Linked DNA regions of Arabidopsis thaliana. The main gene of each other region encodes a partner of the protein of the gene in region 2 in a complex. Each region holds a gene or a part of one and is shown on either strand. Other genes may lie near its edges. The genes, in order: AT4G34660 and AT1G20110.

Region 1 (6,003 bases), on a different chromosome or scaffold from region 2:
TTCTAGTTGTTCTATCAAATAAAAGAAGATCCAAAGTCACTTGACCAATCTTGTCATGTTCATTTATTACGAGAATGATCTTATATGTTTTGGTTGAGGTTCTAATGAATCTTTTTCTGTTTTTTCTTCTTAATGCTGGTCAGAAAATCTTATGTTAACGATGAAACACAATCCAAGGCTATCTTTGTAAGTTCAGATTTGTATCAGACTTCCATAGAAATTCTTTCATATATAGGATTAAGTTACTTATCCTCCTCCTCTAATCTACTCCTGAAATTGCAGGTTGTAATGTTTGTGCTTCTACTGGCCATAGTCGTTGTATATCTCAAAGCAAACCAATGTAAGTGACTCTGATTTTGTGAAGTCATCATGAACATAATTTCTAGCTTTTTTGAAATGTTTGATCAAATCTTGAATTGATAGTCTATTCAAGATTGTCTACGACTTCAACCGTCAAAATGTTCTGTTCTTTCTCTCTTCCTTTTCAGTTGTTCTGTTTTCTCATTTTTATGAAGTTATAAATTCAACCATCATGCTCATAATGTTGGTTTTCCGGAATTCTTACTGAAGTTTAAGTTTGATAAATTGCAGAGTGATATTTAAATAATGCACTAACACACTTAAGCGTATGATCATTTGCGTAAATTTGAAAAATAATCACTTCTTCATCAAGTTTCAAGGTTATCAAATGAAAGTAATTTGGACAAAAAATCACAAATAAGACCCGAAAAGAAGTGTATTCACATACGAAGATAAACAGAGATGTGGCGTTTACATCAAATGACAAAGAAAATATCCAAATCCAATATGAAGATAATACCTAAAAACTGAACTCTTGTTCAAGTGGCATCACTATTAGATTCAGAACATGGCAGAAACCCGCATCAACTCTGATCCTCATGCATATGGACTTCTGTTTTAGCCCGTGAATCTTTTCTTTCTTTTTCTTCTACAGAACACACAACTCTTCTACAGAAGCAACTCAATTCCATAACCAACAAAGAACCATAATGTTACCTTCAAATTCTCAGAAAACTTCGGACACTTTGCTAGCAAGAACTCGTTCCCGTCTTTCAATGTACCCATAAGGGAACCAACCAGCTTTGCCTTTGCATTCACCTTCGGCCCATCCACTGCCTGTAACCTGGCAATGACAAATAGAGAAGTGGTATATCAAACAAACACTACTGAATAACCGTATTGGTTAATATGAATTAAAGGAGACTTTGTTGGTTTTTCTCATGTGGGAGTTGGTTTACTATCGAACCTTTCTAACAACAACGTATTCACCAGTTGATAAGCTGAGCTCGACATCTGTCACACCGTGATATGGGAACAAGACCTGAAAACGTTTTTAAAAAGGGAAATAATATGTTATAATGGCACATCAATGAGGACCAAAAGGAATCTAGATGTAGCCTGTCTTTTTGGTTCTCTAATCAAAAACAGTTTATGTACATCCAGTTCATACGTGGAGAACTTATAATCCAATTATCTCTTTGATACTTTTACTACCAATATAAACCAAAGTTTTAACTCTAAAAGGAAGGTATTAAAGACTGAAAAGCATACCTCTCCTAAGAAGTAACCCATGCTATCTGTTGACGTGTCATGCATCTGAGATGCAAACACTCCATTAGCTTCCTCATATGATGGAGGTGGCGGCATACTGTCTGCGCTTGAGGGAGTAGAGGGAGCTTCTATACGTTGCCTCTCAGATACCATCTGTAGGTTCAAGAATGTTCCATTTTGTCCTTAGTTGACTCATATAATGATGAACTGATTGTTCGACAAGAATACTATTATCACAGGAAACTGAAAGCTGTAAAACTAATGCACACCAACCTCTCCTTCGAGCTGATCAAGTATTTGGAGGACTCTTTGATGGTAGGCGCGTTCAGATTCAACCTGTGATCAGGAATGAAAAATACAGTTGTTACATATGGGTAAGTAAATCAAAGTTGACCTAGAAATGGATCTTGTAACCAATCGCACTACCATTGAAAGAAGTCGTTCAAGAGTCAATTTCTGTTGTTGATCTTCAACGGAAGCTAAAGCAGAAGCAGCTTCTTTCCCCAATATTGTCATATTTGATTTTAGGTCGTGAAGTTTTGCTTCAGCAGATTCCAGTTTCATCAAGATGTCAGGATTACCTTGAGACTCTCTCGCCTTTGCTTGGCGTCTGGCAACTTCTGTAGCCTGTTTGGATTAAAGCAGGCGCATAAGTAAAGTTCTATCATGCGAATAATAAAATGACTAGTTCTTGGAAGAGGAAAAAACCCATATTCTACTAACGGTAATTAAATAGCTTCATGGTATTATCTTTCACCGTACCTGAGCTTCAGCTTCTTGGCGCATTCTGTCATAGCGTTGAGCAAGATGTCTAGCATCCTCCAATGGAGCTCCCAAAACCATTGCCCGTAATGGCTCAGCAACCTAACAAATTCAGGATTGACATATGATTGTAGTAGCCAAACCGCAATAAAGAAAGAACCAAGTGAACACCATGACATTAATTGACTTTTAAAGAGTATGTAACAAATTATTCCAGATAAAAGAAATAGATCTTCCCACAAATGGCAGTCATTCCACTAACAATGGCAGGAAAGTAATTATTTGTGTAGTTATATTGCATGCAACAGATATGTGCTATTGCTTAACACTTTGATGGAAGATGAAAAAGACAAACCTGTGTACCAAGAGCCTTCAACATATTTCCACGTTCCTTCTCCATTTGTGCTCGAGCACGCCCATAGTTCAGTGCAGCCCGTGTTAATACGTTACCATTCGTACATGTATTCTCTGAACCATATTTCCTGCTATCCTCAGACAATTTCGTACCTGATGAAAAATGAGTGCAAAATGAAAGACAGGCCTGTGAGCCAATTCAAGTCTATAACAGACATAAAAAAATACAATAAGTTAAAACTCAAAGGGTCAAAAAAATCACCTATTTCAACTTGTTTTGACCCTGTAACTATATAACCTTCCACACCACGAACAATATCTCTTTGGTAATGCTGAAAACGAAGAACGAATGAGTCCAAAATCAATAGTAATCAAAACTTCAAACTAGTCAAAAGCTTAAGAAAAACAACCTTAGCAGCACGAGTGGATATGTAAAGCTTTTCTAGCTTCTGATGCTGATTGAGTTCTGCTTCATCAGCTAAACCAGAGCCATATCCCCCTCCTCCAAATTGCTTAAAGACAGCCTTAACCATTCCACAAAAACTAAGTCAGTGTACTAATTAACCTCAAACTCAAGAACACAAACACCCAATCTCATGGTAACTTGGAACATGTAGCACCAATATGTTAATCTATCACTACAACATCTTTCAAATCCCAGCTCACAAAACTGAAACGGATTCTCACATAAAAGTATCCTAAATTACCCTTTGACAAAAACTTCTCCAATTCTACAGAATTTTACCCAATCTCACATCGAATCAACGTATTAATCACACTCAGATCCAATTACTCATTAAGTCAAAAACCATCGATCCGAAAAAAAGCTAGCCCCTTTATCATCATCACATTATTGATTCATTCACCAGAAACCAACGACTCAACGGAATCACAAGAGAAGATAAAAACAAAATCTAGAAAAAAAGATACAGAATCGGGATCTAAGCAAATGGGCAAACCAAAAGTTAAGAACTTTAACCTGCTGCTGTCTCGCAACTTGTTCTCTCAACCTGCTAGCTTGTTTTCTAATTGCATCCATTCTTCACCAGATCAAGAGCTATTCACAAATCTTCTTCCTTCTCTCTTTCTCCTATTCTTCCACTTTACGAGTTCCCTCCGATTACTTGGAACAACTCAGAGAAGACAGAGATTCGAAATCGTCAAAAATGGCGTTGAGCTCAGAACAAATTTCTCTGCTTTCGAACACGAAGAAATCAAAGATAGACAAAGTCTCTGTTTCACCAAGAAGGTTAATATTGGGCTCTCTATAATAGCCCATTGGGCTTGAAAATAAAATCCAGTAAGCTATAAATTTATATCATCTCAAAATAACTAAAAAGACGCAAAACCCTAGACATATATAAATGAAAAGCCAGTGAATTAGGGCTTTCTCTCACTTGTTGAAGCCGCTTCTTCTTCTTCCTCACTGTAGCTCGTCGTCGCTACACCATCTAGAAGACCCTTAACCATGGCTGTCGGGTAAATCTCTCTTCGCATCTCTATATTCCTTGCTTGTTTCTCCAGTCTCTGTATTGGAATCTCTCATTTGATCATAGCTTCGAGTATATCATGTTCTGATTTAAGGTTTTTGTTTGATCATATAGGAAGAACAAGAGGATTTCAAAGGGTAGGAAAGGAGGAAAGAAGAAGGCGTAAGTAACCTATGTCCTGAATAAAATTCTCAGATTTCTAATTGTAATCTGTATATAGTGTTCGTGATTGAATTGTTATGGATGGTGCAGTGTTGATCCCTTCTCCAAGAAGGATTGGTATGACGTGAAGGCTCCTGGTTCTTTCACGAACAGGAATGTTGGGAAGACTCTTGTTTCCAGGACTCAGGGTACCAAGGTAATGTCTTATGTCTTTCTATTACTATACTGGAGAAAGGTTAGAGCTTTCTAGGTTTTGAGTCTATAGTTATCTCATGGCATAGGTCATTTGCTGAATGTGAGGTGTAGAGATGGGCATTTGCTCTTGGTGGCTTTCATTATTGAAGTAATAGGAATTGCATTTGTGATAGAAAAGAGCGTGTTCCTCTTCGACAAATCTGACTTTGTTATCTGGGCTATCTCTTAATTTAAACAGATTGCCTCTGAGGGACTGAAACACAGGGTGTTTGAGGTTTCTCTTGCTGATCTACAAAATGATGAGGATAATGCCTACAGGAAGATCCGTCTTAGAGCTGAAGATGTTCAGGGAAGGAATGTGTTGACCCAGTTCTGGGTAAGATAAAGACCACTCCTTTACTGGCATATTGATACAGAGTGCGGTTTTTAATCTGTGATCTCTGTAGGGTATGGATTTCACAACCGACAAGCTAAGGTCATTGGTGAAGAAGTGGCAGACTTTGATTGAAGCCCATGTCGATGTGAAAACCACAGACGGCTACACCTTGAGGATGTTCTGCATCGCCTTCACAAAGAGACGTGCTAACCAAGTGAAGCGTACCTGTTACGCTCAATCCAGCCAAATCCGTCAGGTTACAACATTATCATACCATGTGCTTACTATTTGGCTTTCTGTAAACAGAAGATTAACATTTTCCTTGTAAATGTTTCTTGATTCTTGTAGATCCGCAGAAAGATGAGTGAGATTATGGTGAAGGAGGCTTCATCTTGTGACCTCAAGGAGCTAGTGGCCAAGTTCATCCCAGAGGCCATTGGAAGAGAGATTGAGAAGGCAACACAGGGCATCTACCCGTTGCAGAATGTGTTCATCCGTAAAGTGAAGATCCTAAAGGCTCCCAAGTTTGACCTTGGAAAGCTCATGGAGGTAGATTGAAGTCACATTAATTTCATCATTGATGCACTAGTCTTGGTTCCAAGGATGTAATGAAATCTAACTCTTTTTGTTTTGGTTTATCTTTAGGTGCATGGAGATTACACAGCAGAGGATGTTGGTGTGAAGGTAGACAGGCCAGCTGATGAGACAATGGTTGAGGAGCCAACAGAAATCATCGGAGCTTAGGGGATTATAGATTTGTTTGTTTTTTCGCTGGCAAAAAAAAAAAAGAACCTAATGTTATGTCGCCATTGGTGTGACTGGTTTTGGACTCGTTTTTGATGGATGATCTTTATTGTTTATCATGTTTTACCTTTTTTATTATATGTCTTAGTTCTTCACTTCTTCTTTTCATTTTTGGAATCTGGATTTGCTCTCTCTTCAAATATTTAAATGGACAAGATTAGGATTTACATCAAAGTCAAACTGTAAAAAGGTTAAAACTTTTGAGAAGAAGTAATCGAAATAAAATAAAATAATTTGCACTACCCCGATTTACCTCTTCAATTATTCGACAAACTAGCAATTTCCGCA
Region 2 (6,148 bases):
AAAGTCACCGATAAAGTCCGAAGGGATTTTGCCGTTGCAAAATCTGCCGGTGGGAACTTTATCTGGAAAATTCATGCCATATGGAAGAAAATTAGCTTTGATCAAGGTCAAAATATAATCGTTATTTCCTGTGTCTAAGATCGAATCCCCAAAGGCGAAGATCGCCGGAAACGTAGTGTTATGTGTCCTCTTAGTTGTCGCTGGTGCGGGGTTTGGCCCTGGACTCGGACATGGCTTAGGCTCTGGTGCCGGGGAAGGCCCTGGATTTGGAACTCGCTGTAAGCGGTTTGCTGAAGCATGCATCGTCAAGAGGAAGAAACAAAAGAGTGAGAGAAACAAAACACATCGAGATATTTTCGAACTAGACAAAGAACCAGAAACTCTATCTTGCAACATATTTGCTATATGATCTTATCTGTCTGATAAGTAAAAGAGAATTTTTGCTGTGAAGCTACAAAATATAAAGAGTGGGAGACTAAAGTGTTTTTCACTCAGAAAGAAAGAAAAAAAGTGGACATAAGCATGTGGTTTAGATGGTTATAAGAAGAAGATGCTTGTCTCTTACGACTCCTTCTCATTCACACACTTTGAACTTTTCTTAAATTCAGTTATCCATTACTAATCGCACTCTCATTTTCGTATTACCCTCTAAAACTATAAGACCACAGTTTCTACACTATTCTCTCAAAAGAAAAAAAATACGAGATGATTTTCCAAAAACAACTCGAATAAACACAGCCTCGACCCTCGAGAAAGAACAAGTGTGGACAAGAATATTAAAGCGTTTTATGATACTTAACCTAATTGAATCAATTGAATATGAAAGGAAAGCTTAAAAATTTGGTACACCATTGTAGCACAGTATTTTACACCATTGTAGCATTCATTGATTCGAATCAGAGGATTTGCAATTACCATGGAAGAAGACCAGGTCAACTTGAAACCGCTCTGTTTCGGTTCCAGGCGCAGTATAACATAACGTTTCAAGTGTTTGGACCTAATGGTAGTAAAATACATAATGAACAACGAACCGATTGGACTACATGTGAGTGGTCAGAGAAATTGAAGCAGGAGTAATGACATTGGAGGACTGATACAGTAAATTAACCAATCAGACATCAGTAGGACAACAGACTACATGAAAAGTATAAGATGTTCATCACTCAAAAGACTTTCATATACACACAAAGGGGAAACACCATCCACATGAGACAGGACAAGAACTTATTTTGATGTGATCAAACCCAATTCAATAACCAAATGAACCAAATCTCATACTTATAATTGATATATATGTCAAGCAAAAAAGCGGGTAGGAAGATCAATGTGCGCTAACGAGGAAAGGGTTTTGGCAAACTCCGCACTCAATGGTCTCTGATCCTGAGACTGGAACCTGGACCTGCAATTTAAATGGCAATGCTCTCATAAACGCATACTATCAAGAGACACTACAAACAAGCCAACTTCAAATTCCAATCTGCCTCGAGTTATCTATCAACTTGCTTTAACTATTTATTCAGATGATTAAGCGACAATCTCCATGATCCAATCTTAATAGAAAATCACATCGACCATATGTAACTGTTTAATACTAGAGGTCTCACGTAAGACATAAACATTTCTCTAGCTATTCTATTTCGTCAATGTAGTTTGCAAGATGATCATACACACTGACACAAGTGATTATGAGGACCTCCCTGTTTTCCTTATTCTAGAAAAAATTGGGTCCCAAAATCATACAACGAAAGACATGCTATCAAAGGATCTAACCTGTAAGTGCACAGTGCATGTTGGACAAGCTACTTCTTTCATCCGCCTCCCAGATCCTTCCCTCAAACCTGTTAGAATCATAGCTATCATTGTCAGCAACCATAAAATACCAGAAACAATATATCATAAACATAAGTATATTAGATATGAAAAATTACCAGACGAAGACTTGCGGTTTCTCTCCATTTCCTCCTGTATCAAACATATCCGCCATCAGAAAACAATTATATACTTTGCCCAAGATATTAACTCAACTTGTAAATCATTAAACTTAATAAAGAACCAAGGACGATTAGCTCACCTGTAACTTTCTAGCAAGGTCTTCATGGCTCTGCAGGCTCACATTCCTGCCAGTGGTTTCCTTGGCATTACTCAACCTTTGTGACACTTCTGCCTGCACATCCAGAAACAGATTGAACTTAGAGGCATACGCATAAAAGACAAGATACCAGTTCAAATTAACTTAAAGCTACATTCTCAGGAATCAACGGAACATGATTTCTCAACTTAAGGAAAAATAAACAGACAGATAAGCATACCATGCACCGGTCACAAACACGGACTTGAGGAGCATTATCCTCAGCAGTGAGAGCAATCCTGCCTTGAGTACACTTGTCACAGAAGACGTCACCACAATTCCTGCAGTGGTGCTAGAAAATAAAAAATCCATAAGGTTTGATAGTCCCAACATGGCCAAAAATTTAATTCAGATTGTTAGATCGGGGAAAATAATACCCTTCGTATAAATGCACCGAAATCTGAACCACATGATGTGCACTTAGAAACAGCTTCATCAGGTACCTAAAGCCAAAAATAACATGGAATGAGAACAACATACCACAGCTAAGCAAGAAAATAAGAATCAAGTGATGTAACTAATCACCAAAACTACCCTAGCCCTTTTACTTTGACTACAAGAGAAATGTGTTTTTCTTCCAAAAAAAAAAAAACCTACCCAATGATCTTTCTCCTCATTAACAGGCTTTATAATGTTCATCCAATCACCCAATCCTTTTTTCTTCTCAGCAGTTTGTTCAATCAGTTTTCCAGAGGTGGGAGGCCTGCTACTTCCCCCGATCTCCTTGGCCTAAAACCCACCAACATAAGAACATTGGATTAGTCAAAAGAAATCATGATGGAATTGACATATAGACTTTTAATGAAACAAAATTTGTAAATTTTATGAACCTGAAACATTGCAGCCGTCACAGTGTCCAGAAGGGTGTTGGTGGTGTAACTATTTGATTGCAATCTGATACGTTTAGCTTCAATGTCTACCGGAGTCTTAGACCAGAAAGCCAGAATAGACGAATCTAGTTTCTGATAGAAAGACATTTACAACAATAGATAAGACCTCCAGTCACAAAAATGGAACAAATTCAGTCATAAGAAGAAGGTAGATAATCTCTTACTTCGCATCTTGTGATGTTCTCAAGAGGATATATTCTCAAAGTTCGGCTAGTACTTGGATCAAGCATACGAAGACCATCCAAACCAATCTGCTAGCACAAAACCAATTCACTAAAACTAGTTTAGGTAACACAAAGTTCAAATTGAATTGGGGACATTACCTGACAAAGAACATCTGTTGTGGTTTGTCCATAAGTCTCAGCCAACAATTTGACACGAAATTTCTGCACACCACCAGTGGAATCTTCCTGCACATCAGCCTTAGGAACAGCTCTCACGATCTTAGCAGAATTCGAGCTAACAGAAGAATCTCTCCCTGAAGAAGAAAAGCTAATGGATCGTCCATAATCATCGAACAATGTTGAATTCGATGATTTCGGCGCAGTTCCACGAGAACCGTATGGCTCAACTTTGCCTCCTTGATAAGCATAAACGCCATCGCCATAGGAATCTTCAAAAGCAGGATATTCTCCGCTATCAGATCGTTTTCCGTATAGATCAGATCCTAAATCCGATCTGCTCCGGTTATAACCGTCATAACCAGATTGATCAAATTTCACTGACGGTTTCTCATACGAAGGAGGTATGGATGATCCTCCGCTACTATAAGGAGGTGCAGAGTACAAGGATGATGAATAAGGCGCGGGATTAGGATTCGGCGCAGGCGCAGATGAAGGAGGAGGCGCAGATGAATAGCCAGAGGTTTGATGCTGATCATACGGTGAGTAATACATATGTTGCGAGGTAGGTTGCTGATACGGAGCAGTAGAATCAAATGATCCATAAGAGGATAGAGGTTGTGGATGAATCGTGGGTGGAGGTGGTGGTTGGTTGAAGGTTGAATAAGAATTAGGGTTTAGTGATGTCGCCGGCGGAGAAGGAGGAGGTTGTGATGGTGAAGTGAAGGAAGGAGCTGAAGGAGGGACATGCTCAGAGTTTTGCCCGTAAGGAGTGTAATTCTGTGAATAGTTAGAGTAATCGGCGGAACCGTAACCGCCGGTGAACGGTGGCGCTGATGCGTACGTGTTTCGAGTAAGATCGGTCGGACCAGCTACGGTTGCCGGCGCCGGCGGAGAAGGATTGGGATTAGGATTAGGATTCGGAGTAGGATTTTGAAATTGAGAGTATTGGTGGTGATAGTACGAATTGTAATCTCCCTGTTGCATCGCTGAATCGGTGATCGTCGGCGATGATTTGATCAGATTATATCGGAAATTGGAAACGATGACGAAGATGAAGATGAAAGATAGATCGAGAGAGTCAAGGGAATATTTGGTGAGGGAAGGATTGTCTGTGCCGCGAACTTTTTTGTATATTTAATAATAATACACGTGGCGGTATAATGAACCGTTGATTAGAAGTAAGAGATGGTTTTTTAACGCGTGATGCCCACAGATAATTGTAGCTGTTTTTCTATGCAAGCGTAAGGAACCAAGTCGGACAAGAGACCCATTAATCACAAAGTCAATTAAAATTAATTATTCTCCTCGTATTAACATTGGGTTTTGGGCTTTTGTAGTTTTTGTTAAGCCCAATAATAAAGTTTGGAGTAAGAAAGACGCAAAGGATAAAAAGGGTATTTCAGATGACGTAGCAAACTCGGACCGAGCTTCACGGAGATGATAACGACTAATTGACGGAATAGCCCTTACAAATTAGGGTTTTCACATTATTCTTTCCAAAAACGTAAGTATAGCCCGAGTCGGCGGATCTGAGTGTTTCACGCGTCTTTAAATAGAACCTTACCCTTCACCATTATTTTCTCAACCGCAATTGGTTTTTTTCTTCTTTCTCTCTCTCTCATCGATTAACAAAATCGAATCGAAAAAAAAAATTAGGGTTCTTCTCTCTTCCGTCTCTCGTTATCGATTTCGTTTTGATTTCGCGCCACAAAGAAGAAGTTTCATTAGGCGCGAATCTGAAACCTAGGTTCGATTTAGTTCTGTCCGAATTACTGTCCGTTGTCTTGTCCGTTAGTCGATTCGATCTGAGAAAGAAAGAAAGAGAAGAAGAAAAAACGATGTCACGATATTTCACATCCCCACCGCCTGTGTATGCGAGGAACTGGGCGAACGGTCAAAACTTGGTCGAATGGACTAAGGTTCGTCGAGCACTCAATTCTTGTGATTGATTCGCTACGGTGTCCTCTTGTCTGAACATGGGTTTCTGTGTTCGGTCAGAGTTAAATTTCCTTATAATATCCTCTTTGTAGCCAGATCTCTAGGTTGCATATAAGTTATTGATTGGTTAAATTGTAGGAAAATATCTTCAGCATAGATCTATGAATTGAATCTACACTATACATGTTTTAGCATAATGAATTTCGTTCTTAACGATGTCGTGTAGACATGTATGTTAGTTTGGTTTGGTCTCCAATTATAAAGTCAACCATAAAGACGCGTTGTAGATATATGTTTTGAGTAATTAACATTATGTGTGTTTGTGGTTGAATGATGTTACCCACGTATATGGGTATCTGGTTGTTTGCCTGATAAATCCTTCCTCTAGTCTAAATCCTTTATTCTGATTGGATTATAAAGATCGAAAGACCAATAGTTGATTCTAAAAAGCTGCATCGGAAAGAGAAGAAGGAGAAAAAGAAAGAAAAGAAATTAAAGAAAGAGAAGAAATCCCTTGAACAGAAGTATTCCACAACCAAGACAGTCTCATATGAATCCGAACAGCTTGAGAAATCTTGTTTAACAGAAGAATTTGAGCAACCTCAGGTTGGATATTTGTCTGATGGTAGCCAGAACAGTAAGAAGAGAAGAAGGGAAACTTCTCCTGCTGTTGTTGAGAGTCAAATCAAAGGTTTGTGCTTTGTTTCTTCCCGGATTAGATGAATATCTTTATTGTGTTTGAATACATATACTGAAACAGAGACGTTTAATCATTTGCAGCTACACCTGTAGCTGGTAAACCACTACGGATTCGTATTGTTTTCAAGAAACCGAAAGAAGCTGAAGCT

What was found.
Region 1: AT1G20110 (region 2) and AT4G34660 share a complex: the UniProt entries of both Arabidopsis thaliana proteins name them as parts of the phosphoinositide 3-kinase (PI3K) complex.

The regions. Positions count from the first base shown.
Region 1 is NC_003075.7:16,544,568-16,550,570, forward strand, and holds AT4G34660 (SH3 domain-containing protein), read right to left. Parts: upstream 3,928-6,003; 5' UTR 3,728-3,927; coding exon 3,668-3,727; intron 3,213-3,667; coding exon 3,099-3,212; intron 3,021-3,098; coding exon 2,951-3,020; intron 2,842-2,950; coding exon 2,690-2,841; intron 2,437-2,689; coding exon 2,335-2,436; intron 2,200-2,334; coding exon 1,999-2,199; intron 1,909-1,998; coding exon 1,846-1,908; intron 1,726-1,845; coding exon 1,573-1,725; intron 1,343-1,572; coding exon 1,268-1,342; intron 1,145-1,267; coding exon 1,028-1,144; 3' UTR 623-1,027; downstream 1-622. Other genes in the region: SQS2 (squalene synthase 2), read left to right, coding at 144-186, 283-348; AT4G34670 (Ribosomal protein S3Ae), read left to right, coding at 4,157-4,167, 4,293-4,340, 4,431-4,536, 4,774-4,911, 4,982-5,167, 5,260-5,460, 5,557-5,655. UniProt on the Arabidopsis thaliana protein: Regulator for autophaosome formation and/or maturation.
Region 2 is NC_003070.9:6,969,752-6,975,899, reverse strand, and holds AT1G20110 (RING/FYVE/PHD zinc finger superfamily protein), read right to left. Parts: upstream 4,477-6,148; 5' UTR 4,347-4,476; coding exon 3,342-4,346; intron 3,270-3,341; coding exon 3,183-3,269; intron 3,091-3,182; coding exon 2,959-3,090; intron 2,858-2,958; coding exon 2,726-2,857; intron 2,572-2,725; coding exon 2,506-2,571; intron 2,421-2,505; coding exon 2,310-2,420; intron 2,165-2,309; coding exon 2,072-2,164; intron 1,963-2,071; coding exon 1,929-1,962; intron 1,839-1,928; coding exon 1,771-1,838; intron 1,400-1,770; coding exon 1,322-1,399; 3' UTR 770-1,321; downstream 1-769. Other genes in the region: AT1G20120 (GDSL-like Lipase/Acylhydrolase superfamily protein), read right to left, coding at 9-396; AT1G20100 (DNA ligase-like protein), read left to right, coding at 5,201-5,281, 5,721-5,991, 6,081-6,148. UniProt on the Arabidopsis thaliana protein: Endosomal sorting complex required for transport (ESCRT) component regulating multivesicular body (MVB) protein sorting and plant growth. Required for the formation of intra-luminal vesicles (ILVs)in MVBs.